3 linked regions of the Arabidopsis thaliana genome follow. The protein of the gene in region 1 interacts with the protein of each later gene in a pairwise test. Each region holds a gene or a part of one and is shown on either strand. Other genes may lie near its edges.

Region 1 (9,129 bases):
ATTTGAAATCTTCGAGTACTTGTTGTGATGTGATTTGTTCAAATATATCAAATCATATATTATATATCAGCAAACCCAAAATACAAACGAATAAATCACACAAAGAGTGCAATAGAGTAACAAACAAATAAAAGGAATCAGAGGTACACAAGCTCTAGAGAAGCCAAATACCAAACCTATACACCAAAAACAAACTAACTCCCGAAAAGAGAGATGAAAATGTTAGCCAAAATGTCAACATCTCTCACTCTCTCCCTCGGCTTTTCTTCTCCTCCCTCTAACCACTTTAACACCAAATCTATGTCACAAACTCTCTTTCTTATCTTTTTACTAGGTTATAGGTGTGAGGATGGGATTATCAGCATGCTAAGTTATATATGGTGATACAACCAATCACATGAGGTAAACAAAAACAAAGTAAAAGCCATGATATAAGGTTAAAACAGCTGAATAACAAGAGCCAAGGACATTCTTTTACTTGTTATTTTCTTGAATCTCCCTTCACTGGGTACTCTTCGTTAACCCGCCACTTCGTCCAGCAGCTCTGCGCAAATCCAAACTCCAAATTTAGTTTGAATACCAAATTATGAACTAAGAAGTATATAGCATTATAGCTAACCATGAAATGTGTAATACAAAGTGAAAAACCACATAGCTCTACCTTCCCGCAAGAATCTGGGCGGTGTTGGATGGGCTCTTGCTATTTGAAAACCTTTTGGCTCTGGCGTCCTGATCTTTCTCCACACGCATTGCAGCAACTTCTTTTTCCATTGCAGCTACTTCCCGTCTCATCTTCTTTGCTTCAACCTCCATTGCCTTTGTTAATGTTTCCACCTTCTTCGCTAGCATCTACGAACATCAACGTATCATTACTTCCTCCGTTTACAACAAGAATGTTCTTCTTTAAACAAGATTAATATGGCATAAAGAAACAGAACTTAAAGAAACAGAACTCTTACCTCGATGGCATCATCTTTGTCTTTGAGGCTTTGATCCTTTTCATTAGAGGCTTTCCTCAAAGAAACTACTTCTTTCTGTAGTAAATCATACAAAACACCAGGGACACTGTCCTCAGTTGCTGCTTCAGGGTCTTCACTTTGTGGCTTCTCCTCTGAATTTTCTTTCCACCCATTACCTGACTCTGCTTCCTTAGAGTCATCAGTAGCCTTGTTGAAGGAATAATTCCCAGGTCCGTTTAAAAGTGCTTTGCCTCTATCCACGGATCTTGTGCCTCCATCAAATGACTTAGATGTTCCTTTAGCATTCTTCAACACCGAAGTTGAATTAATAGACAATGAATGCCTCATCTGAGATGCTGGAGCTTTCTTTGATAAAGCACCGTTTGATGTAAATTTTTGTAAGTTTTCAGCTCCACCAAGCGACTGCCTGCGAGAAGGTCCATTACTCATGCTTCTTGCCTCGGGTGTGTTCCTGGTGGCGCTGCTTGAAGTTCCTCGAAGTGTCTCCTCAAGCACTTTAAGCCGCAGTTGAAACTTCTCCTGAAATTGCACAAACAAAATATATTACTTCTTGTTCTGTGTAACAAGATCAACTGAAAGAAGCTGACTAATGGATAAGATTTGTTACTTTTAACTGTGCCTCGGATTTTGCAGCCCGGTCTGTTATGGCGAGCTTATCACGAAGTTGCTGCATTTCTCCCTGCAAAAAAGTTGAGGATCAAGAAGTGAGAATGTAGATATGGATGGGCCTTGCTCACTGCAAATAATTTGCGTCCTAAGAATCTAGGAGAGGGGCCATCATATCAAAGTAAACCTGTAGAAACCTTCGTTCTTCGAGCCATTGCTTCACAGGCATCACTTTATCATTACCATCTTTCCACTCATTTGCTACCACAGTGGCAACTCTGTTTGCTGTAACCTTTGCACGTGCAAGCTCCCGGTCAAGAGTTTTCCGCTCTTCCTGAAAGACAAAAACAAGAATTATTCCTACATCAGTAGGCAATTGTTGTGACAAGAAATTAGAGACTTTATGAAGTGTGTTTAGTTACATTCATCTCTTGAAATTTCCGCTGGTAATCCCTCACGGCATTTGCAGCAGCACCACCTGCAAGAACAGCCTCTTCTAGCTCTCGTACTGTCTGAGTAAGCTTTTCCACTTCAGCAACCTTCTGCCTATGCATTCTATCTAGAATTTTGTTTTCTTCCTAAAACAGAAAATAAAGTTAATCAGATTGTTGGCAAATCCATAGATTAAGTAAATACAAAGAACAAGATGGCGACCACAGAACCTGACAGATTTCAATTTGCTTCATTAGCTCCTGGTTCTTATTCTGAAGATCATCAACCATAGCGGCTTTTGCCATGGCAGCTTCAACGGTCCTCTCAGCTTCAAGTAAGGCAGCTTCCTTTGATTTAGTCAGACGGTCCAAAGCCCTGTTATCTTCTTGAAGCTTTCCAATCTACACAGATACAAGAGATTTGATCAGTGACCTCATAAACTTTCAATATCCCATATGAAAGTAAACAGCAAGCAGTTAGACTTAAAATGACAATATACCTCTGATCGTGCAAGCTTAAGTTCAGCTTCTAATGGAGCAAGGATGGCTTCAATAGGAGGCATGTCATCATCCTTTTGAGCAGCATGGACTCTTCTTAAAGTGGCTTCAGCAGCAAACTGAGCAGCCATTGATGCTTTCTTTTCCTCATTGATTTTCTTGATTTCTAGATTCTGCAGCAAGGTTGATATCATATGTCTATAAGCTTAAGAAACGAAAGGTGAACATCATCGAACCAAGGAAAGATTATCGAACAATACTTTGCTTTCGAGAATGGATTCAGTCAACTTGAGCTTCTCATCCAACTTAGTAAGCTCCTCAGTAAGCTACAACAACAACAAAAAAACATAGAGGAAACTTCATTCCACAAGAAGAGAATGTGTAAATAAAAAATCCCACTGTTAAAAACATAAAAGTCAAGAACAAACACATGATGTTATAATTGATCAAAACTAAAAGGCAAAGTTAAATTCTGAATGTTCTTCTCCAACCACATTGCCCAAATACCACACTACGATAAATGCACCTAAATTCATTATAAATTATTTCTTCAACTAACAAGGAAACTAAGACTTTGTAGTAAAATAAAGTGACCCAGATGTGAAATTCATCAACCATTATTTGATTGGTTGAACCAAAAATGTAGAGATTAATAATCGTCCCTGAGAAATTGCTAAATGTGTGAAATTTATCAACCATTATTGATTGGCTTAACCAAAAATGGAGATAATTTACCAAAACATCAAGAAATGATTAAGAATTGGTAAAATGTGAAAAAGCTTCAGACAAAAATAGCAAAATTCAGACACAAACAAACCTCTTCAACAGCTTTCTCTCTTTGTCTCTCAGACAACCTAAGCGCTTTGATCTCAGCGTTTGCTTCTCCTAACTCCCGATCCTTATCTACATCCCCCCAACAACCAATAATCAGAAACCGAATCGACAAAAAATAAAAAAATCGAACAGCATTATCAGACCTCTAACTTCATTCTCTAGTCGATTAAGCTCCACTTTCACTGGATCCGAGCCATGAAGCAAAGTAATAAACTCATTATCAGCCGCAGCGTCGAAACTCGGCCTTATTGGTCTCCTCTTCGACGAGCTTTTACCTCCGCTGCTCTCTTTGTAAGACGCCGACACCGTTAATGACGGATACGTCGCCGAAGAAACCGGCGGTTGTGGAGTTACTTCATGTTCAGTAACCGTCGCCGATAAATCTCCGTCACCGGAAACATCCGACATCTCCGATCTGATTCCTTTGTTGGATATATATACAAAAAGCACTTCCAAATCCAAATGCCAGAGAGAGAGATTGTTTGAGAAAGTGAGAGAGAAGAGAATGAGTAAAGAGAAGAGAGATTTATAAATAAATATGCAGTTACAGATTTGACAAGACAGCGAGAGATGATGACGCAACATTTGTATTAATTCTTAAACACTAACTTCAAACATGTTACTTTTTCTGATTAGTCAATAAACTAATTAATTAGTAAGCAAATTAGACAATTAAGTAGTAGTACTATGTTTTCTACTATTTTTCTTTAGTAGCTTACAGTGAATTTTGTCGCTTGGATCTCTTCTAATATTGTTTATTTCAAAAAGTTAATTCTTGGTGTGCATCTTTATTACAAAAAAATAATAAACACAAAAGTAATAATGAGAAATAAACCTGAGTTTTTTGTAGCAGACACTTAGTTGAATGTTTATTGAGTATTAATGTCATGGAATTGTTTCTGGTATTTTTTCTTGTGATTTATTTAGTTAGTTGTGAATTCATCTTTTGATTGTAAGGTAGATAATTAATTATTACAGATAAAATATGTTGACTTGGTCAATATGTTCAATTGTCTGATAATTAGTAAGGAAAAGGTATAACTAGTAATTAGTGAAGATTAGATTTAAATGCTTTGCCCATGAAAAGAGGGAAAATGTTCGATGTCCCAAATATCTTTGTTTCGCTTTTTCTCTTTTCGAGGGATAATGCTTCTTCTCTTTTTTCTCAAGTAAGGTTGGTTGGTTCTACTTCTAATGGACAACAATAAGAAAAGTATATGAATCTTAACACCTATGACCTATTCTACTCATATTTTAGAATCCTATTCTTAAAGATCACTTGAGATTATTAGCCTAAGTTAGGAATAAATAACTATATGACTATTTTCATATATGTATTTGTTCAATAGAAGCATGTTAACCTTGTTGACAACAAAACATTTGTTCCACCCATTAAAATTATATGTTTATATAGGTTATTTTAGTAAAGTGGTTAAATGCGAGTTATATAGGTGGGTAGTTCAAATGTATAAAAACAGGATGGTGTCTGAAACTTTTCTTTAAATTTACAGAAAGAAAATAGATACTTTTCCCAGATACAAGAAGTACACATTAAGCAGCTTATACAGTTTGATATTCCTCAAGTCGGAAATTCTGCAATCTTTACTTAACAGGTATTTTATTTAATCAGTATTCCGTACTCACATGCTTCCACTACAACGAGACCTTTCGATAAAATATAGATCTATTTAGACTATTATTAAAATTTAAAAGTAACAAAGACAACGAATATACTAAACTCAGATTATATTTTCCAAAACTATTACTAAATTAAGAATATCAATACGTACACTAGATATAGAAATCGGAATTAGGTACGTTGTGATCAATTTCAGCTACCATAAACTAGTCAATTGTAGTGACTAGTGAGTATGTGGACCTTGGATTCATATAGAGTTATGAGATTCGGTTTAACGTATCATGCGAATCTCAGTGTCTACTAAATGCAAAAGGAACAAACGCATATTATAGATGATAATACGTGATTGGACACATCACATAGTTTAAGGCATTACATATATCGATATACATAATTAAATACGTATTACTTCTATGGCGTGTAGTAGAAAGACTAGCTGCATATGGCACCTAATTAATACACATATGGTTCATGTGAAATGCTGGATATGTATATGGTATACCACCACTTTGGTACCATAATGCAACATCTAAATTCGAGAAACGTACTTTCTTATGAATACAACGTTTTGGGCATCATTTAGGGAGAGATGAACTCCATTACCCAAAAGTAAAATTATTCTCTCATATTTCGGAGACGTTATATTTGAAGTCCATGCCATTTTTTAACCTCGTTATTTTTTCATGATAAACTTTTGTACCGCCGACTAAGTACTAAGTTTTTGATACCGCAAACTCTTAACTGTTTTTCAAACCACTGATTTTTACGACTTTATTATAGTTTTACACATAAATAAAAGTCGTCCATGTAATTAAGTATGTAACCATATTTTACCGTAACGTACATCACCAAATAAATCTGAAAGGAGAGAGGAGGATAAAATAAAGGGAAAAAAAGGAAAAAGGGTAGCAAGGAAGAAAGCTGCGTGAACCCATGTGCCACTTCTTTGCTATGCCTTGAAGAATCAGACAAAACGAGTGGAGTCTAGAGACTTTGATCCTAATACCACTCCTTAATATATGCCTATCCTATCATTATTTCACAACGCATGTTTACTTTTGTTATGAAATATAGTTTTGTTTAAAGGGTGGTAACGTAATTTATGGGTTCCATTAGGATTGTGTTTTATTTTCTCTCCTCATCCTCATGCATGTAAGAATTTGCATTTTTATAAATATATACTATGAATTCAGTCCAACCTTACAGTGTGAACAATTTAATTAAACGAAGCATAATCCTAAAAGAAAATAAAACTAAAAAAAAATAGTTAAGATGGTATAAGATAATTTTATTAAGTTAAGATGTTGCACTTTTCACTAAGTAAATCAAACATTTACATAGTGATTTGTCATAATGTGCATATTCCATTTTTTCGGGTCTTTCATTTCCATATTCCTCAGCTCTTTCATATATTGAAGATTGAAGAGAATAAGAAAGACGCTTTTTATAGGAAACGAATTAAAGAGTGTTGACTTGCCGTAAAAGTAACTTAAATTGTTCGTCGCCTGAGCATGGATTTATATAAACGTGAAGTACTATACAAAACCCTAACCAACATTTGATCAAACGACAATGATGTCGGAACTTCCAGAGCATTTGTTAGAAGAGATACTCTACCGCGTTCCAGCTATGTCTTTGAAACAGTTAGGGTCTACTTGCAAAGGATGGAACTGTTTATTCAAGGATAGGAGATTCACAAGAAAACACTTGGATAAAGGCCCAAAGCAGTTTCTGATTCACATGTCTAAAGGGCTTAGGGTACGCTCGATGAGTGTCGATCTCCATAGACTTCCACATGTAAAAGTCACAGTTGAATTTACCCTAATCAACCCTAAATATCCTAGTTGTCTAGATCAAGATCAATTCGAGATATATAAAGTCTCTCACTGCGACGGCTTATTGTTATGCGTCTGCGTCACCAAGGAGGACAATACTTGGCTCGCGGTATGGAACCCGTGTACTGGTCAAACAAGGTGGATTCAACCCATGACTTATATGACAACTATACTCTCGGATCCTACCAAAATAATAGCTACAATATATTGGCACACACTGGTTTTGGCTACGACCACGAATTCCAAATTTATGAAATTAACTCCAATTCATGGAGGATTATTGATGCCACTTTGGACTTCAAATTAGGGTATATTGGTCGTGGCGTGTCTTTGAAGGGAAAGACTTACTGGATTGCTAGTGGTGAAGAAGAGAAACGGCTTGGCAAATTCTTAATCAGTTTTGATTATACGACAGAAAGATTTGAACGTCTATGTCTTCCGAATAAGTATCCTTGTTATGCAACTCTGGCTCTATCCGTTGTTAGAGAAGAGAAACTTTCCATGTTATCGCAACGCGGAATTAAATCAAAGGCAGAAATATGGGTGACAAATAAGATTGGTGAGACACAAGTGGTGTCGTGGAGCATGGTCTTAGCTTTGGATTTGCAGCCTAAACGTTGTATTGGGGAAAGCGGAAGTTTCTTGGTCGACGAGAAGAAGAGAGTGGTCGTGTGTTGTGATAATATTAGAGACCAAGGAAAAACCACGGTACACATTTTTGGAGAGGACAACAAAGTGAAACAAGTGGGTTTTGAAGTCGGATCATCTCTGTAATGTATGTTTTATTATGTTCCAAGTTTGACTCAAATCTACCAAGGTATCACAGGCAAAAGAAAAAGGGACGAATGATCATAGTGTTTGGTGTGGATCTTGGAGCAACTATCAGATTTTTCAATTATGATAAGTTTTCTTCTCAATTTCAATTAATCGCTTCTTTATGCCATAATTTAGAGGCAATTGCTGTAATATTTCTAAATTTTTTAGGCATTCTTTACTTTGTACTTCTCCTTTTAATTATATAGGTAGATTTGATGATAATTAGAAGATTAAGACTTCAAAAATGGAGATTATGTGAAATTGAGAAAAGCATCACACAAAGAAAATGGTTTTTGGTGGAACAATTGGGATATTTGCATAACATGAATTTTGATTCCGGTTTACTATACATTATTTGTTTCTTGATTCCGGTTTAGTATATCCTAGTACTTACTTAAATCAATAATCCGGGCATGGTTAAAATTAATCAGACGTTGAATCAATGAGACTCCCCGTCACCGTCAAAGCCACTAAGCCGTCGTTTCTCGTCATTTGGATCCGATACTCCTCCGCCGCGTCGTCGCCGACAGTCTCCTTGAATCCAGTAAACCTCTCTCCCGCACACGCTTACATGTATATGCGACTTTATTATCCATTGGAATCATTTTGAGTGTGTTTTTTTTGTCTTGGGGTTCAATACTGTAGAGTGGACGATTACAGCAAACTCTCGCAGGATCTGTGGAAGTGAAAGGAAAATCTCTGCACTCCGGTAAGTTCTCGACGGTGAAGCTAAATCCGGAGATCGCCGGAGCTGGTAGGTTCTTCGAGTTTCGATCCAGATTCATCCCTGCGTCGATTGAATTTGCTCAGGAATCGCCTCTTTGCACGACGCTGTTGAAAGATGAGCTCAAAATCCGAACCGTTGAGCATTTGTTATCAGCTCTTGAGGCGAAGGGAGTTGATAATTGCAGGATTCAAATCGAGAGCGAAAGTTCCGATGATCGAGAAGTCGAGGTTTGTTACCTGAATACATACATTTTGAGTAATCATAGGTCGAATCAATGTCTCGTATTGTCTATTTTGACTGGATTTGTATGCTATAGAGATTGTCAACATCTTGCTGTGCAGTGTAGCTCTTAGTTTTATAGACTTGGTACACTGGAGGAGATGATGAGTGTAGGCAACACTAACCAAGTGACAGGTCCCTATTTTTGATGGATCAGCTAAAGAATGGGTCGATGCGATACAAGGAGTTGGCATAAACGCGGCTCAAAACCATGATGGTGAAAGTGTAGAGAAGATGGTCGCACATGTGAACAAGCCTGTGTATGTTTGCAAGAACGATACTTTTGTTGCTGCATTTCCGGCTCTAGAGACTCGGATCACTTGTGGTATCGACTTCCCACAGGTTCAGTCTAATGGCATTTTGACTTATTTTCTGCTTGTACATAAATTGTTATTGACTTGGTCTGTTGTGTATGATGATGAACTTTACAGGTGCCTGCTATAGGCTGCCAATGGTTTTCTTGGAGACCTATCCATGAGTCTTC
Region 2 (7,354 bases), 1.5 Mb from region 1:
AATTAACTATTGAAGAGGCCAGGTTCCGTGAGATTGAGGTATGACTAATTCAAGTGGCAACACCTATGTACACTCCAGCCGTATATTTTTTTTTCTCCAGTTCTTCTATGTGCATTTTCCCTTACTAGGCTTATCTAAACTTCATCATTGTTTTTTTCTTTTTCTTTTTCTCTGGATCATGTTGTGCGTCTTGTCCTCTCCTCTTATTCTATGGCCCAATGCTCCCTTCTTTCACCTTTGCTGGTGAAGGGGCTTTGAATAATTTTGTAACACATCTTACGGAAATTTGTTACTTATTGAACTTTTGCTTTGCTAACCCATCCAGGGGCGGAAGATGGAGTTGAGTCAAGCAATTGTGAACATGGAGCAAGGTGGTAGTGCTGATGGTCTCCTTCAGGTACATGCTATTCTATATGCTTACGAGATGCCTTAACTGTCGAGTATCTGCTGTACATGCCTGATTTGATGCTGTACTGGGCACATTTAGGTCCGGGCTGACAGAATACAATCAGATCTTGAGGAATTGATGAAGGCTTTAACTGAACGATGCAAGAAACACGGGTTGGAGGTTAACTCGAAGGCCCTTGTAGACCTTCCAGCTGGTATATGATTCCGTTGCCTTGTGACTTCTTGCTTTCGTTGTAGATGATTGCAAATAACATGTATTTTGTAAACAAACAACTTATGTGGAATTTGCTATGTTGTGACTTACAGGCTGGCAACCTGGAATTCAAGAAGGTGCAGCTCTTTGGGATGAGGAATGGGATAAGTTTGAAGATGAAGGTACAATGTTTTTTCCTATCTTTCTCTTACTAATACACTTAGATATATATAGTTAAGCACATAACAAGGACATTGACTGATAATGTTCCCACTGTTAGGTTTTGGCAATGAGATCACTTTTGACAAATCAAAAGAGCAAAACTCGTCTGGTGAGAAGGAAAATGGTACGGTGGATGATGGTAGTGGGCCACCTGATTCGCCGACCCATGTAGAGGACAACTATGGCCCTTTTTCAGAAACCTCAGACCGCCACCATGAGAGTGAATATGGGACAACTCACAGTGAAGATAGAAGTCCTAGAGACAGTCCTGTCTCTAGGAATGCTACTGAGGTCCCATCTCCAGATTATTCTCAGGGAAAGAATTCTGAATTCTTTGATGACTCGAATTGGGCAAGTGCATTTGACACTAACGATGATGTGGATTCAGTCTGGGGATTTGATGCATCAAAAAGCCAGGTTAGTAAAGAAACATAGTGTCTCTCGCTTTAACACATCAATCCATCTATCAAAATACTAAATCAAATCTTTCAGTTGTGACGAATAGACATTGAACTGATCTTTTAATTTCTACAAGATTTTGAAAATCCGTATTAAGTTCATGCTTTTCAGATTTGCGATGTTACATTTACCTTCTGTATGCTGAATCATTTAGTTATCTATTCAGAGTCTTAACCAAGCTTAGCATTTTCAATATCAACATTGGCAGGATGGAGATTACTTTGGATCAGGTGACGATTTTGGTGGAAACACAGCAAGAGCAGATTCTCCAAGTTCAAGAAGCTTTGGCGCCCAGAGAAAGAGCCAATTTGCATTTGATGATTCAGTCCCCAGCACTCCACTCTCAAGATTCGGGAACTCTCCACCTCGGTTCAGCGATGCATCAGCTAGAGATAATAACTTTGATAGCTTCTCCAGGTTCGACTCCTTCAACACCAGTGAAGCAGGCGCCGGGTTTTCTTCGCAGCCCGAGAGACTGTCTCGGTTTGATTCCATCAACAGCTCCAAAGACTTTGGTGGAGCTGCCTTCTCTAGGTTCGATTCAATTAACAGTTCCAGAGACGTCACTGGAGCTGAGAAATTTTCGAGGTTTGATTCCATCAACAGTAGCAAAGACTTTGGTGGTCCCTCGCTATCAAGATTCGACTCTATGAATAGTACAAAGGATTTCAGTGGTAGCCATGGATACTCGTTTGATGATGCAGACCCGTTTGGTTCCACAGGTCCCTTTAAAGTCTCTTCGGATGAAAGCCCTACGAAAAGGTCAGATAACTGGAACTCCTTCTAGCCTCGGTTACTATCGTTCCCTTTTATAATCCTTTTTCCTCGCTTGATGAACTTGTGCTTGTTTCATAATTATAATTTTTTCACCAAATTCTGGTTTTGGATGAGACACTAGCGTTAGTCTATTTGTAATTTGTAAAGTTTGTCTCTGTATTGGTTTCCTACTGTATCTCTGTTATGTTATGAATTCATTTGCTTTATATGAAAGAAATATTTGAGGATTTCGTCGTGGATAAGAGATTAAAGGACAATGAAATGATTTTATTTTTCTCCATTTTTACTGTTTCTCTTCTCCAAAATGTTTTATTATTTTGATATATCCTTAGCTCGAGGTCTTGTAAGAACTTCTGGTAACATTTAACCAAATCAAAACAGATACACTTGAAGGTGGTAGCTACAAAATTGAAAATCGAGCTAATGCATTGGTACATTCTAACCCTCTGACTCGAAGAAGATATGATTTTCGCAGCATCAAACTGCTATGATCAATGTAACATCAGTCTTTGAGGTTGGCTCCATTCTGTTTCCGTTGAATCCACTGAGCACATTTCAGGATCAGTTGTTACCAAGGAACTTCACTTCTCTGTGATCCGCTCAAAGGCAGATATCATCGATGCACGCATGTTGGCTATTTCCACCAGAGTTTCAAGAGCTGTCCAAAGACGAGAGAAAAAAGAGTTTCAGTTGTAAACTGGAATCTTCCTTTGAGTATACTTGTGGTGATGAGGATGTTACCTGTTTCAAATGATTGTTGAGCGCCACGCAGCTTAGGAGAGACTAGACCTCCAAATACTGACAGAGATTTTGCCCGTTCTTTCTTTATCTGGAGCTCAACACATTCGAATTAGTAAAACCATCGTCCTACATTTTGAAAACAAGTAGAGTTTCTGCAGACGGTTAAATGATTGCTCACCTCTTCATCAGCTGCTAAAACGGTTTCATCCTTGGCTGATGGTTTCTCTTCTATCGAATTACATAAAGCAAGAGATGATGAAACACCGACAAACAAAGGGCAGAGAATAACCAACAGATGAGTCTTTTTTTACCAGAAACTCCTCGATGTCGTAGCTGTGGGCTGAGAGGTGAGCCTATCTCCGAATCTGTATCAGTAGAGAAGTCTTTGCCTTTCCTGCTACCGCCCTTGGAAGCCCACTTGGACAAAGCAAAATGAGGTACTGATCCCAAAGATTCAACTACAAGAGTCCATAGACATACACTGTATATAAGTTGCTTCCCCGCAAAAAAAACATAAATTCATAGCATATAAACGTAAACCATTGAACTATCAAACGCCCAAAGCATAAGCCAAACTTACCATCTTGGTCAGTCACTTGCAATGTTGAAGAAGCGGGATGATACTTAAGATCTAAGAGAGTGCTGTTGATGCGTAAAGTTCCCATAGAATGTCGAGCACTAGCTAGATCAAACCATCCCTGCAAAAATAACACATTTCAGTTCCATACCAAATAAGTTAATTAAGGCAGCAGACTCTCACTCTCATCATATCAGTGATATGAATCCACAAAAAAGTTTCTCCTCATGGCTACTATAGCTAGATAATCAACGAAAACGTTTCCCACGCAATCCTTTTTAATCCCAGATTCAATTCAATTCAACACAGAATATCTCAAGTCATCTATACATCAGAACATAAGAATCATTCCCATAAGATCCCATTTTAGCTCAATACACCAAATATCATTCCAATTACCTCTCGAAGCTTAGAATTCACAGAATCCATAAGCGTTAAATATCCATCCAACGAATCTAGAAACTGCAAAACATTCTCATCTCCTCCCCCTTTTCCCAGCTCAGTTTTCACTTCTGATTCTTTATTCACATCCACTGATTCATCTCCTTCCTCGTAAATCTCCGCCATCGAAATTTAGCTCCAACACACGCGAATCAACAAATCGAAGCTTACACGAGGAAGACAACGTAAAGCGATCGAAACAGAGACAGATCAATTTCTCGAGTAAACGAGGCTATTTTCGTAATATTTCAATTAGTAAAGGCCCAATAGCCCAAGTAGAAGACAACGTAAAGCGATCGAAACAAAGACGGATCAAACGAGGCTATTTTCGTAATATCCAATTAATAAAGGCCCATTAATACCAATAGCCCAAGTCGAAAGATTACCTCTTTCGGGTCAAACCGGTTATGTTTATGGGTGGGTGGGTAGAGCAAGTCGAGTGTGTGTGAACACAGCGCCAGGCTGTTTGTCTCAGTTTGTCAAGTTGGCGTTTGGTGGCTCCACGTCTCTCTCTATCTCTCTCTCTCACATGACTTTTCGATTTTAGTCAACCTTTCGTGCTTTTCTCTTAAAAATTCGATTTTTTCTTCAACCCATCTTCTTCTCTGTTATTTCCTCTCGCTTTTACCTGTCTCTCTCGTTCTCGCACGGGGATAGAATCAACTCTGCTCGAGATTTTAGTAGGAGGCAAGCTCGATTGCTTGCAATTAGATCCATGGATGAAGAAGAACTCACACTTTCTCGCGCGTTTTTAGCTCAAGGAGATTTTTGAAGAAGTGGTCGTTTTCGAATTGTCAACTTCAGAAGAAGAATCAACTTTGGTTTTTTCTTTTCCCTTCTCTGTATAGCTTTGAGGAGGCGCTTCTTCAACTGGAACAGGCTGGTGTGCTTTTTTTTTTATCTCTTTTGGTATTTTTGAAATGCTTCATGAGACGTTGTTTCTCTTCTTTATCTTTTTGACGAATATTGCTAAATTTGGTAATCTTGCTATATAAGGGTTCATGGGAGTGATGATTTTGGGACACTGTTACTTTTCGTATTTTAGGTTATAGTTATGATTGAAAGTTTGAATTTTGTTTCCTTGGCTGTGAAAGAATCCGGGAACCAAACTGTGGTACTATCCCTTTTTGTGTTTCCAAAACTTTCTCATTCATTTACTATCAAATTTCGACACTTTCTTACCAGACTCTCTTGCATTGATGTATCCAAGTGGGTTTTCATCTAGGATCCTATGTTTCATAACAATGAGGTATTTGCTTGTACATTTGCAGTGAGTTTGAAGGATTAAGATGGTTGGAAGCTCGGATGGTGACCAGTCAGATGATAGCTCTCATTTTGAGCGAGGAGTAGATCATATCTATGAAGCATTCATCTGCCCATTGACAAAGGAGGTTATGCATGATCCTGTCACTTTAGAGAATGGTCGAACATTCGAGCGTGAAGCCATTGAGAAATGGTTCAAGGAGTGTCGGGACAGTGGGAGACCTCCTTCTTGCCCTTTGACATCTCAGGAGCTGACTAGCACTGATGTAAGCGCCAGCATAGCTCTGCGTAACACTATCGAAGAGTGGAGATCCAGGAATGATGCTGCCAAGCTTGACATTGCTCGTCAGTCACTGTTTTTAGGGAATGCTGAGACAGATATTTTGCAAGCTTTGATGCATGTGCGACAGATTTGCAGGACCATCCGATCAAATAGGCATGGTGTACGCAACTCTCAGCTTATCCATATGATCATCGACATGTTAAAAAGTACTAGCCATAGAGTGCGGTATAAGGCTCTACAAACTCTGCAAGTTGTCGTTGAAGGAGATGATGAGAGCAAGGTTGAATCTGATTTCTTTTCATCTCTGCTGAATATTTAGTGTAGCATTTTAATGGGAAATTGAGCGGGTGCTAATTAAATTTTCAGCATCTTGCAGGCGATAGTAGCTGAAGGGGACACTGTGCGTACACTAGTTAAGTTCTTATCACATGAGCCATCAAAGGGGAGGGAGGCAGCTGTTTCCTTGCTGTTTGAGCTCTCTAAATCAGAAGCTTTGTGCGAGAAGATTGGTTCCATTCATGGAGCACTAATATTATTGGTTGGTCTGACAAGCAGCAACTCAGAAAATGTTTCAATTGTTGAGAAAGCTGATAGAACCTTGGAAAATATGGAGAGGTCAGAGGAAATTGTTAGGCAGATGGCTTCATATGGTAGACTCCAGCCTCTTCTAGGCAAACTCCTTGAAGGTGAAAGAATTTCTTTTCTTTGTTTGGTTTTAATATAACAATTACGCTCTCTACTTCATTTGCATAAAACAAGTTATCATCTTCCTTCAGTTGGTAAAATTCTTCCTTCAGTTGTTCGGATGCATCACAGTGTTATGGTATTCTGCCTTAGAATTTGTTTGCTCTAGGAATTTTACATGTTCGCTTGTAAGAAGAGTCAATTTTCTTCTACCCAGATGGTCAAATCTTTCATTATTTTCCTCTGTTATATGGCAAATTTCTTGTATGAATAATGACACCACATGTGAAATCTGCAGGTTCACCTGAAACAAAACTCTCTATGGCTTCCTTTCTCGGGGAGCTTCCCTTAAATAACGATGTGAAGGTTCTTGTGGCTCAGACTGTGGGTTCTTCTCTTGTCGATCTTATGAGAAGTGGTGACATGCCCCAACGGGAAGCTGCCTTGAAAGCTCTTAACAAAATCTCATCGTTCGAAGGGAGTGCTAAGGTCTTGATCAGCAAAGGAATTCTCCCCCCACTTATCAAAGATCTGTTTTATGTGGGGCCAAACAACCTTCCAATTCGGTTGAAAGAAGTCTCTGCCACTATTCTTGCTAACATAGTGAACATCGGGTATGACTTTGACAAAGCCACTCTTGTTTCAGAGAACAGAGTGGAGAATCTGCTCCATCTAATTAGCAACACAGGTCCAGCGATCCAGTGCAAGCTGTTGGAGGTTCTTGTTGGACTCACCAGTTGCCCAAAAACAGTTCCAAAAGTTGTTTATGCAATTAAAACCTCCGGTGCAATCATCAGTTTGGTTCAGTTTATAGAGGTCCGAGAGAATGATGATTTGCGGTTGGCTTCCATAAAGCTTCTTCATAACCTTTCCCCATTCATGAGTGAAGAACTAGCTAAGGCCTTATGTGGCACTGCTGGACAACTCGGAAGCCTTGTTGCTATCATTTCAGAAAAGACACCAATCACTGAAGAACAGGCTGCTGCTGCTGGGCTCTTAGCTGAATTGCCAGATAGGGATTTGGGTCTTACTCAGGAAATGTTAGAAGTTGGTGCTTTTGAAAAAATCATATCCAAAGTGTTTGGAATCCGCCAAGGGGATATCAAGGGAATGAGGTTTGTGAATCCTTTTCTGGAAGGACTTGTGCGTATACTTGCTAGGATTACTTTTGTTTTCAACAAAGAGGCTCGGGCCATTAACTTTTGCCGTGAGCACGATGTTGCGTCACTCTTCCTTCATCTGCTCCAATCCAACGGGCAAGATAACATACAGATGGTGTCCGCCATGGCTTTAGAGAATCTTTCAC
Region 3 (6,496 bases), on another chromosome or scaffold:
CTATTGGTCTTTTGAAAACATTGATTGCTCTCAACTTATCAAACAACTCATTCACTGGACATATTCCGATGTCTTTCGCTAATGTGACAGAGCTCGAGTCATTGGACTTGTCAGGGAACAAACTCTCGGGGGAAATTCCACAAGAACTCGGAAGACTATCGTATTTAGCGTACATAGATGTCTCTGATAATCAACTCACTGGTAAAATACCACAAGGAACACAAATCATAGGGCAGCCTAAATCCTCATTTGAAGGAAATTCAGGGTTATGTGGTCTTCCTCTTGAAGAAAGCTGTTTAAGAGAAGACGCACCATCGACACAAGAGCCCGAAGAAGAAGAAGAAGAAATATTGGAGTGGAGAGCAGCGGCAATAGGGTATGGACCAGGGGTGTTGTTTGGATTGGCAATTGGACATGTTGTTGCTTTGTACAAGCCAGGGTGGTTCATCAAGAATAATGGTCAGAATAGGCTTAGAGGCATCAGACACCCTTAGGATTAAAATTGTTCTGTTTCATTTTTTTTTTGTAAATTGATCAATGAGTAAGTAAAGTTACTCAAAAACAGAATTATGGCATGTTCTGTTTACATTTAAACTATGATCTTATAACAGAAGAGCCGAAACTATTAAATTAGTTTCTTCCATATCAAACAACGTATTCATGACTACTTCATTTTATTATGGAAACATAAGAAACAGAACAAGTATTTCTTTACATGTGAAATTTTTTGAGTAACGAAAACATATGTTACATTTGTTGGGTAAGGGTAGTTCGTCCTTTAAGGATAACAAATTATTAGGCGGCTTAATTTAGAGCCCAGGAGTGTAAAAATTGTAATCTCACCGACTCTCATTAATTTAATCGCAAAATAAAATCAATTTCCCTATGAAGAAAAGGAAAACCTGAATACCTTCGTTCCTTGACTACAAAGCTAACCTTTTTCTCTTTCGCTAGAACTCGAGTTTCCTTCTAGGTTTTATAATTTCCGGTTCTGTATCTTCAAGAGACTTGATCAAGATGATGAAATCTGATGATCGTAGTTTTTCCAAGCAGAGATGTTTGACGAGATTACGTGAAATTCTTCAGAAGCCCCAAACCTTTGGTCGCTTTGAGGTGGAACAAATTTCGAGACGTCAGTGGGATGTGCACAAAGAGTACGGTACTAACGAAGACAAAAGCTTTAAACTGTTGAATCCGCCCGTCATGTCGTTAGAGTACGAGACTAAGAAAGACAAATCGAAAAAGAAGGAACCTAGGGTTAACTCAGGGCGGGTTAATATGCAGGAGTTGATGTACGAAGTTGTCGCAGAGTTGCCGCTTGACAGCCTCTTAGAACGTAGATCAATTACTTCCGTACTAGAAAACCCTAATCCGGATTCACAGTCGTCTATGTCATCTTGTGTCAGTCAGTCCAAGAAAAAACGTTGTTCTGTTAAGGTGGAAGAGAGACGTCCCAAGAAAGGCAAAGTCGTTAGTCCTTTAGAGGTGCAACCAAATTCAAACGACTCCACCCGATTGGCTTTTGAACGTTATGAGGAACGAGAATGGCTACAATCCGAAGCTGATCTCAACGAGGGAATTGTTTAAGTCTGATCTCGATAAAGGTAAAGCACGTCTCCAAGTCCCTTTTAACCAAGTGAAAACTCCGGACTTTTTGACAGAGGACGAGACAAGAATCATACATGAAAATGCCATGAAGATTCGTGACGATGGTGTGCCTGTGAATTTGGTGGATCCTCGGATGAATAAGCATGCGCTTGAGTTGAGGAAGTGGAAGATGAAGGGAAACTGGAATTATGTCTTTGTTAAAGGTTGGAACGATGTGCTTGATGCTAACAAGTCGAATTCGTTTAAGGAAAAAGACGTCTTTCCTCTCTGGTCTTTCCGATCTGGAACAGGCAAACTCTGTTTTGCTCTCACCCCAAAAATTCCAGCAACGGCTCTACTTCAGGAGAATCTGGCAGTGGCGGCGATGGTGCTTCTACTTGAGGTGAATCTGGTCAGGTACCGTTACCCATTCCTTCGGCAGTAGATTCTAGCCACTCTGGCCAAGGCTGTTCAGGAGAGAGCAGCTCTAGTTCTTCCTAATCATAACTCTGCTTATTGCTTAAGCCACAAGTAAAACGGATTTAGTTTTCAGGCAAATCTGGCTTGGTTTTCTTTCTTTTTTTTGTTCAGTTGATGAAATAGTGGGGTTTTGTCCAAATATGATGTTTTGATTTGAGTTTCTTTCTTTATGTTTGATTTTTTTTTATCTCTCTCTGATGCTGCCTATGTTTACTTATGATTAGCATTGAAAATGCAGAACAAAGGAGAGAGAACTTGTTTTCTTATATTATCACAAAAAGATCCATCAGGCTACAACAACACACAACAAGTGTAAAGTTTCTTGGCTCTACTAAAAACTCAAAAGTCTAAGTTGGATCAATCATCACCATAGGCCTTGAAACAATACCGCTCAATATAAGGAGCGTTAAAGAAAAGATCAGCTTCCAACCATTTCGGATACCGAACAAGATCTCCAGCTAAAAACTGCATATACCTCTTGCTTCCTTCGGGAACTACTCGAACCTCTCCTTGTTCAATGTAAACCAACTGATCCACCTGCCAATCCCATGGCAATTTGCATTTCCCTGTCTTCCAAACTGACCATCTCGAAACCCCGAGTTCCTCCAACCGTTTCTGTGAAACTTTCCGTTCCACTTTAACATTGTATAGCTCCTCTAATGGTTTCTCTGTCTGCATACAAGTCACCTTAAAGGCTCTCTGAACAGACAGGTTATTTGTCTTCTTACATGCAGTGACAGAACCTGGGAATGGTGTAGTCATTATCAGACTTGCCATGGCTGCTTCTATCCAATCTTGTGAAACCTGAGATCCACAATGAACTTTAAATAACACATATCGAAATTCTTTGTGATGTGTTAAAGTCTTGTAACTCCTGAAACAGAGAAAGAAGGTGAATTTCTAAACTCTAGTGTGTAAAAGTGAATTATATTGTAAAGCTGAAGGCTTTATCATTTACTCTCTTTGCAATAGCTTATATGAATCAATGACACAGCGTAACACAAAAACTCACAATTCAGGAAATTAGCTAATGCCCATTTGCTATTTCGATTGGAAAAGTGAAAACTCATCGCAAAATTGAAGATATACGAATTTAACCCAACAAGTCCGCAAAAAAAGGTTGTCGATTTCAAAACCAAAAAAAAAAGCGGAAGACAGATTATACGCATCGAAATCGAATTTCTTACCAGCGGAAGTGTGAGTGAGAGTAACCCTTAAACCCTGAAGCAGTCAGGCTTATCCGATCCCCGATTTGATGAATCAGTAAAAAAGAAGAAGAGGATATAATAAATATTACAGAAACGATACTAACATTTAGATTTGTTTTAATTTTAGAACAGAAGTTTGTTTTGAGTTAATGTAACCCAAAATGTTTTTGTTTTGTAAGACTGTAAACGTGTCACATTCTCTGACACATTGCACAATCTTTCCAGTTTTCTCTTCACAAGTTTTATCTCTGTTTATCAAAAGTTCGCTCTTGGTTTTATAGCATTTGTTTTGGAACTCATTGTCATGGTGGTTCTGCAAATTCATCAGTTCAATGGGTTCGTTAGTTCCGTATCAAGGGCTCAGACAAACCAAGGAAGAAGGAGAGCTTCGACGACAGTGTGCGTTCAAACACAATTGGCTCCCTCTCTTACACAGGTCAAGCTTTCTGCTCAATTACGCATCCTCTGGGGGGAAATGAGAAAAAGTTGTGAACTTTATCAGGATTAGAGATGATTTTGTGGTCTGCATTGTGATGAAAGTTTGCTCTTGATAACTGATAATTGATTTTCATTGCACAGGAAAAGAAATTTTCATCGCTTTTGTTCTTTCTTAGTTGTTTTAGTATTTGAATCTTGAGAGCCTTTAAGCGAGATTGCATAAGCATGTTTAACTTCACGATGAGTTGTTTTTAGCTGAGTATGAGTTCAATCATTTCGATATGCAGAAGATAATGGAGAGTATTTCAGTTGGTGGAGAAGCTGGAGGTGCTGGTGGTGCTTACTCTTATAATGCCTTGAAGAGACTTGACAATATTTGGTCCAACATATGTACTCAACCAACAGGTAATAAGAACAATAGTCTTTTGGTAACCATTCAGATAATTAAGAAATATGCTTCTCTTGGTGATGAATGTTAGTCTTTGCAGGACCACAAGAAACTCAGCAAATTGTTTCTAGGGTATCTGGTTTTTCTCAAGATTATAGTATGGGGAATAATCTCGTTGGAACCTTTGACATAGTGGTTTGTGGGGGTACTTTGGGGATTTTTCTAGCCACGGCTCTATGTGCCAAGGGTTTAAGAGTCGCTGTGGTGGAGAGAAATGCAATCAAAGGGGTAAAGCTTCTAGTTAATGCTGTGGTTGAGGTCTGGTTGGAGAAGCTATTGTTAAAGCTTTTTGGTTTTGTGGTGATTTAGAGAGATCAAGAATGGAATATCTCAAGAAAAGAGATGAAAGAACTGACTGAAGTCAGAGTTTTAACCGAAGATGAGATCGAAGAAGTAATTGCTGCAAAGTTCAATCCGGTAAAGCTTCTCTTCAGTAAGCAATATCTTGATGCTTTATAAAAGTCATGTAGCTTAAGGTTATCTTGAACAAATGCAGAACAGATGTGGATTTGAGAATCTTGGTGATATATGGGTTGAAGATATTCTTAACCTCGGCGTTTCGTGAGTCCTGTCTTCTCTTATTCTCTAATACATAGGAAAAGAATAATCCCCTTGTGTTCTGCTACTTTCTGAAAGTGATGATTTGTTTGTTTTTTCGTTTTGTATGTTAAAACAGCCCAGCCAAACTTGTGGAAACTGTAAAACAACGTTTCATTTCTCTTGGTGGAGTCATTTTAGAAGACTCCAGCCTCTCGAGCATCGTCATCTACAATGATTTAGCTGTGAGTTATCTGGCGTTTTCTCCAAAAACATTGTACCTAAGAAGAGTATTCAGCTTATTGATATGAATTGTTTGAACATTTTGATTGACAGGTTATGCAACTTTCTAAAGGTGACACATTATCTTCCCGTCTCGTTATTGATGCCATGGGAAACTTTTCTCCTATTCTGAAGCAGGTCATATCTTGGCCTAAGAACATATCTACTTTTACATTTTCATTTGCATTAGTTATGGTGGTAAAAAAATAAAACTTACTGATTCGCTTTTCTTGAGCAAATTGTGTATTGCCCTTGCATAATACTTTTCTTGTTATGTATTCTGCTACAAAAGATCAAACGTGGTAGAAAGCCAGATGGAATGTGCCTTGTTGTTGGATCTTGTGCTCATGGGTTTAAAGAGAACTCATCAAGCGACGTTATATATAGCAGTTCATCGGTGACCAGAGTTGCAGATTCCAATGTACAACTCTTTTGGGAGGTAAAAAAATCTGTCCCCATTCTAACACAATTCCCATAACCACAAAGAAATGGTTTTAATATAAGGATGCTTATTGTTGCTTTAAGGCTTTCCCGGCTGGCTCTGGTCCATTAGACCGCACTACTTACATGTTCACTTACACTGAACCGCAATCAACATCTCCGAGTTTAGAGGATTTACTCGAAGAATACTGGAAACTGATGCCAAAATACCAAGTGAGTTTCCTTCCATCTTATATCACAATCTTTCATCAACTTTCGTTTTTTCTTTCTTTTCCTGATGTCTTTTGGCAAAGGGAGTCTCTCTTGATGAATTGGAAATACTGAGAGTTGTATACGGAATCTTTCCTACATACCGAAATAGGTACGACTTTGACAAGAAACTCCGTTGATGCCTGTATCTCTATATCTATCATCTCTGGAAGTTTGAAATTCTATCATTGATATTATAATTCTGTTTACCAGTTTCGTACAATAATACTGCTGCATTCTGACATATCTAACCCTGTTGGATTGGACTTGTCACCAGTCCGTTGCCAGCTGCATTTGATCGTGTTCTACAGGTTGGTTTGGTTCATTTATATATAAGCTTCCAAGATAAGTTTGCGGATTGATAATTTGATAAACTAAATAATCAAAGTTACTTACAAATTTTTTACTCAGTTTGGTGATGCTAGCGGTATTCAATCACCTGTTTCATTTGGGGGTTTTGGAAGTTTGACCAGACACCTTGGAAGATTGTCCAATGGTATATACACTCACTCTCTGAGAGTACACTTGCTGTCTCCATATCTCATTGAACATTATACAACTTTTTATATCATGAACTCTTTCAGAATATTCAGATTTTCTGACAATCTTATTGTTCAACTTAAAAAAGGAATCTATGACGCAATAGATGGAGATCTTCTGGACTCTGACAGCTTATCAAAGCTAAATCCTTATATGGTAATATAGCTTTGTGGTTCTCAGCTAAATATCTTTCTCCCTGCTATTAACTTCACTGAATCCATTTGGCTTTTGAACGACAGCCAAACTTGAGCGCATCATGGCTGTTTCAAAGAGCAATGTCTGCAAA

The links. Proteins that work in one complex are often made in the same cells at the same time.
Region 2: the proteins of MAP70-2 (region 1) and AT1G20770 interact in a two-hybrid assay, tested with the Arabidopsis thaliana proteins (one large-scale study listed by BioGRID).
Region 3: the proteins of MAP70-2 (region 1) and AT2G32650 interact in a two-hybrid assay, tested with the Arabidopsis thaliana proteins (one large-scale study listed by BioGRID).

What each region holds. Positions count from the first base shown.
Region 1 is NC_003070.9:8,759,500-8,768,628, forward strand, and holds MAP70-2 (microtubule-associated proteins 70-2), read right to left. Parts: upstream 3,971-9,129; 5' UTR 3,935-3,970; coding exon 3,493-3,934; exon of another isoform or gene 3,419-3,492; coding exon 3,333-3,418; intron 2,842-3,332; coding exon 2,776-2,841; intron 2,689-2,775; coding exon 2,518-2,688; intron 2,420-2,517; coding exon 2,249-2,419; intron 2,165-2,248; coding exon 2,009-2,164; intron 1,921-2,008; coding exon 1,774-1,920; intron 1,660-1,773; coding exon 1,588-1,659; intron 1,500-1,587; coding exon 960-1,499; intron 850-959; coding exon 662-849; intron 545-661; coding exon 502-544; downstream 1-501. Other genes in the region: LpxC1 (UDP-3-O-acyl N-acetylglycosamine deacetylase family protein), read left to right, coding at 8,082-8,183, 8,285-8,593, 8,781-8,987, 9,077-9,129. UniProt on the Arabidopsis thaliana protein: Plant-specific protein that interact with microtubules.
Region 2 is NC_003070.9:7,212,705-7,220,058, forward strand, and holds AT1G20770 (coiled-coil protein), read right to left. Parts: upstream 4,194-7,354; 5' UTR 3,945-4,193; coding exon 3,777-3,944; intron 3,499-3,776; coding exon 3,381-3,498; intron 3,259-3,380; coding exon 3,112-3,258; coding exon of another isoform or gene 3,029-3,111; coding exon 2,979-3,028; intron 2,889-2,978; coding exon 2,801-2,888; intron 2,718-2,800; coding exon 2,641-2,717; 3' UTR 2,311-2,640; downstream 1-2,310. Other genes in the region: AT1G20760 (Calcium-binding EF hand family protein), read left to right, coding at 1-38, 326-397, 488-602, 715-783, 882-1,240, 1,491-2,069; SAUL1 (senescence-associated E3 ubiquitin ligase 1), read left to right, coding at 5,108-5,644, 5,741-6,050, 6,347-7,354.
Region 3 is NC_003071.7:13,847,895-13,854,390, reverse strand, and holds AT2G32650 (RmlC-like cupins superfamily protein), read right to left. Parts: upstream 3,403-6,496; 5' UTR 3,255-3,402; exon of another isoform or gene 3,020-3,254; intron 2,872-3,019; 5' UTR 2,845-2,871; coding exon 2,425-2,844; 3' UTR 2,403-2,424; downstream 1-2,402. Other genes in the region: RLP22 (receptor like protein 22), read left to right, coding at 1-494; AT2G32645 (B3 domain protein, putative (DUF313)), read left to right, coding at 1,532-2,004, 2,306-2,402; AT2G32640 (Lycopene beta/epsilon cyclase protein), read left to right, coding at 3,580-3,711, 4,001-4,118, 4,202-4,389, 4,471-4,578, 4,658-4,722, 4,838-4,943, 5,035-5,118, 5,273-5,419 and 6 more.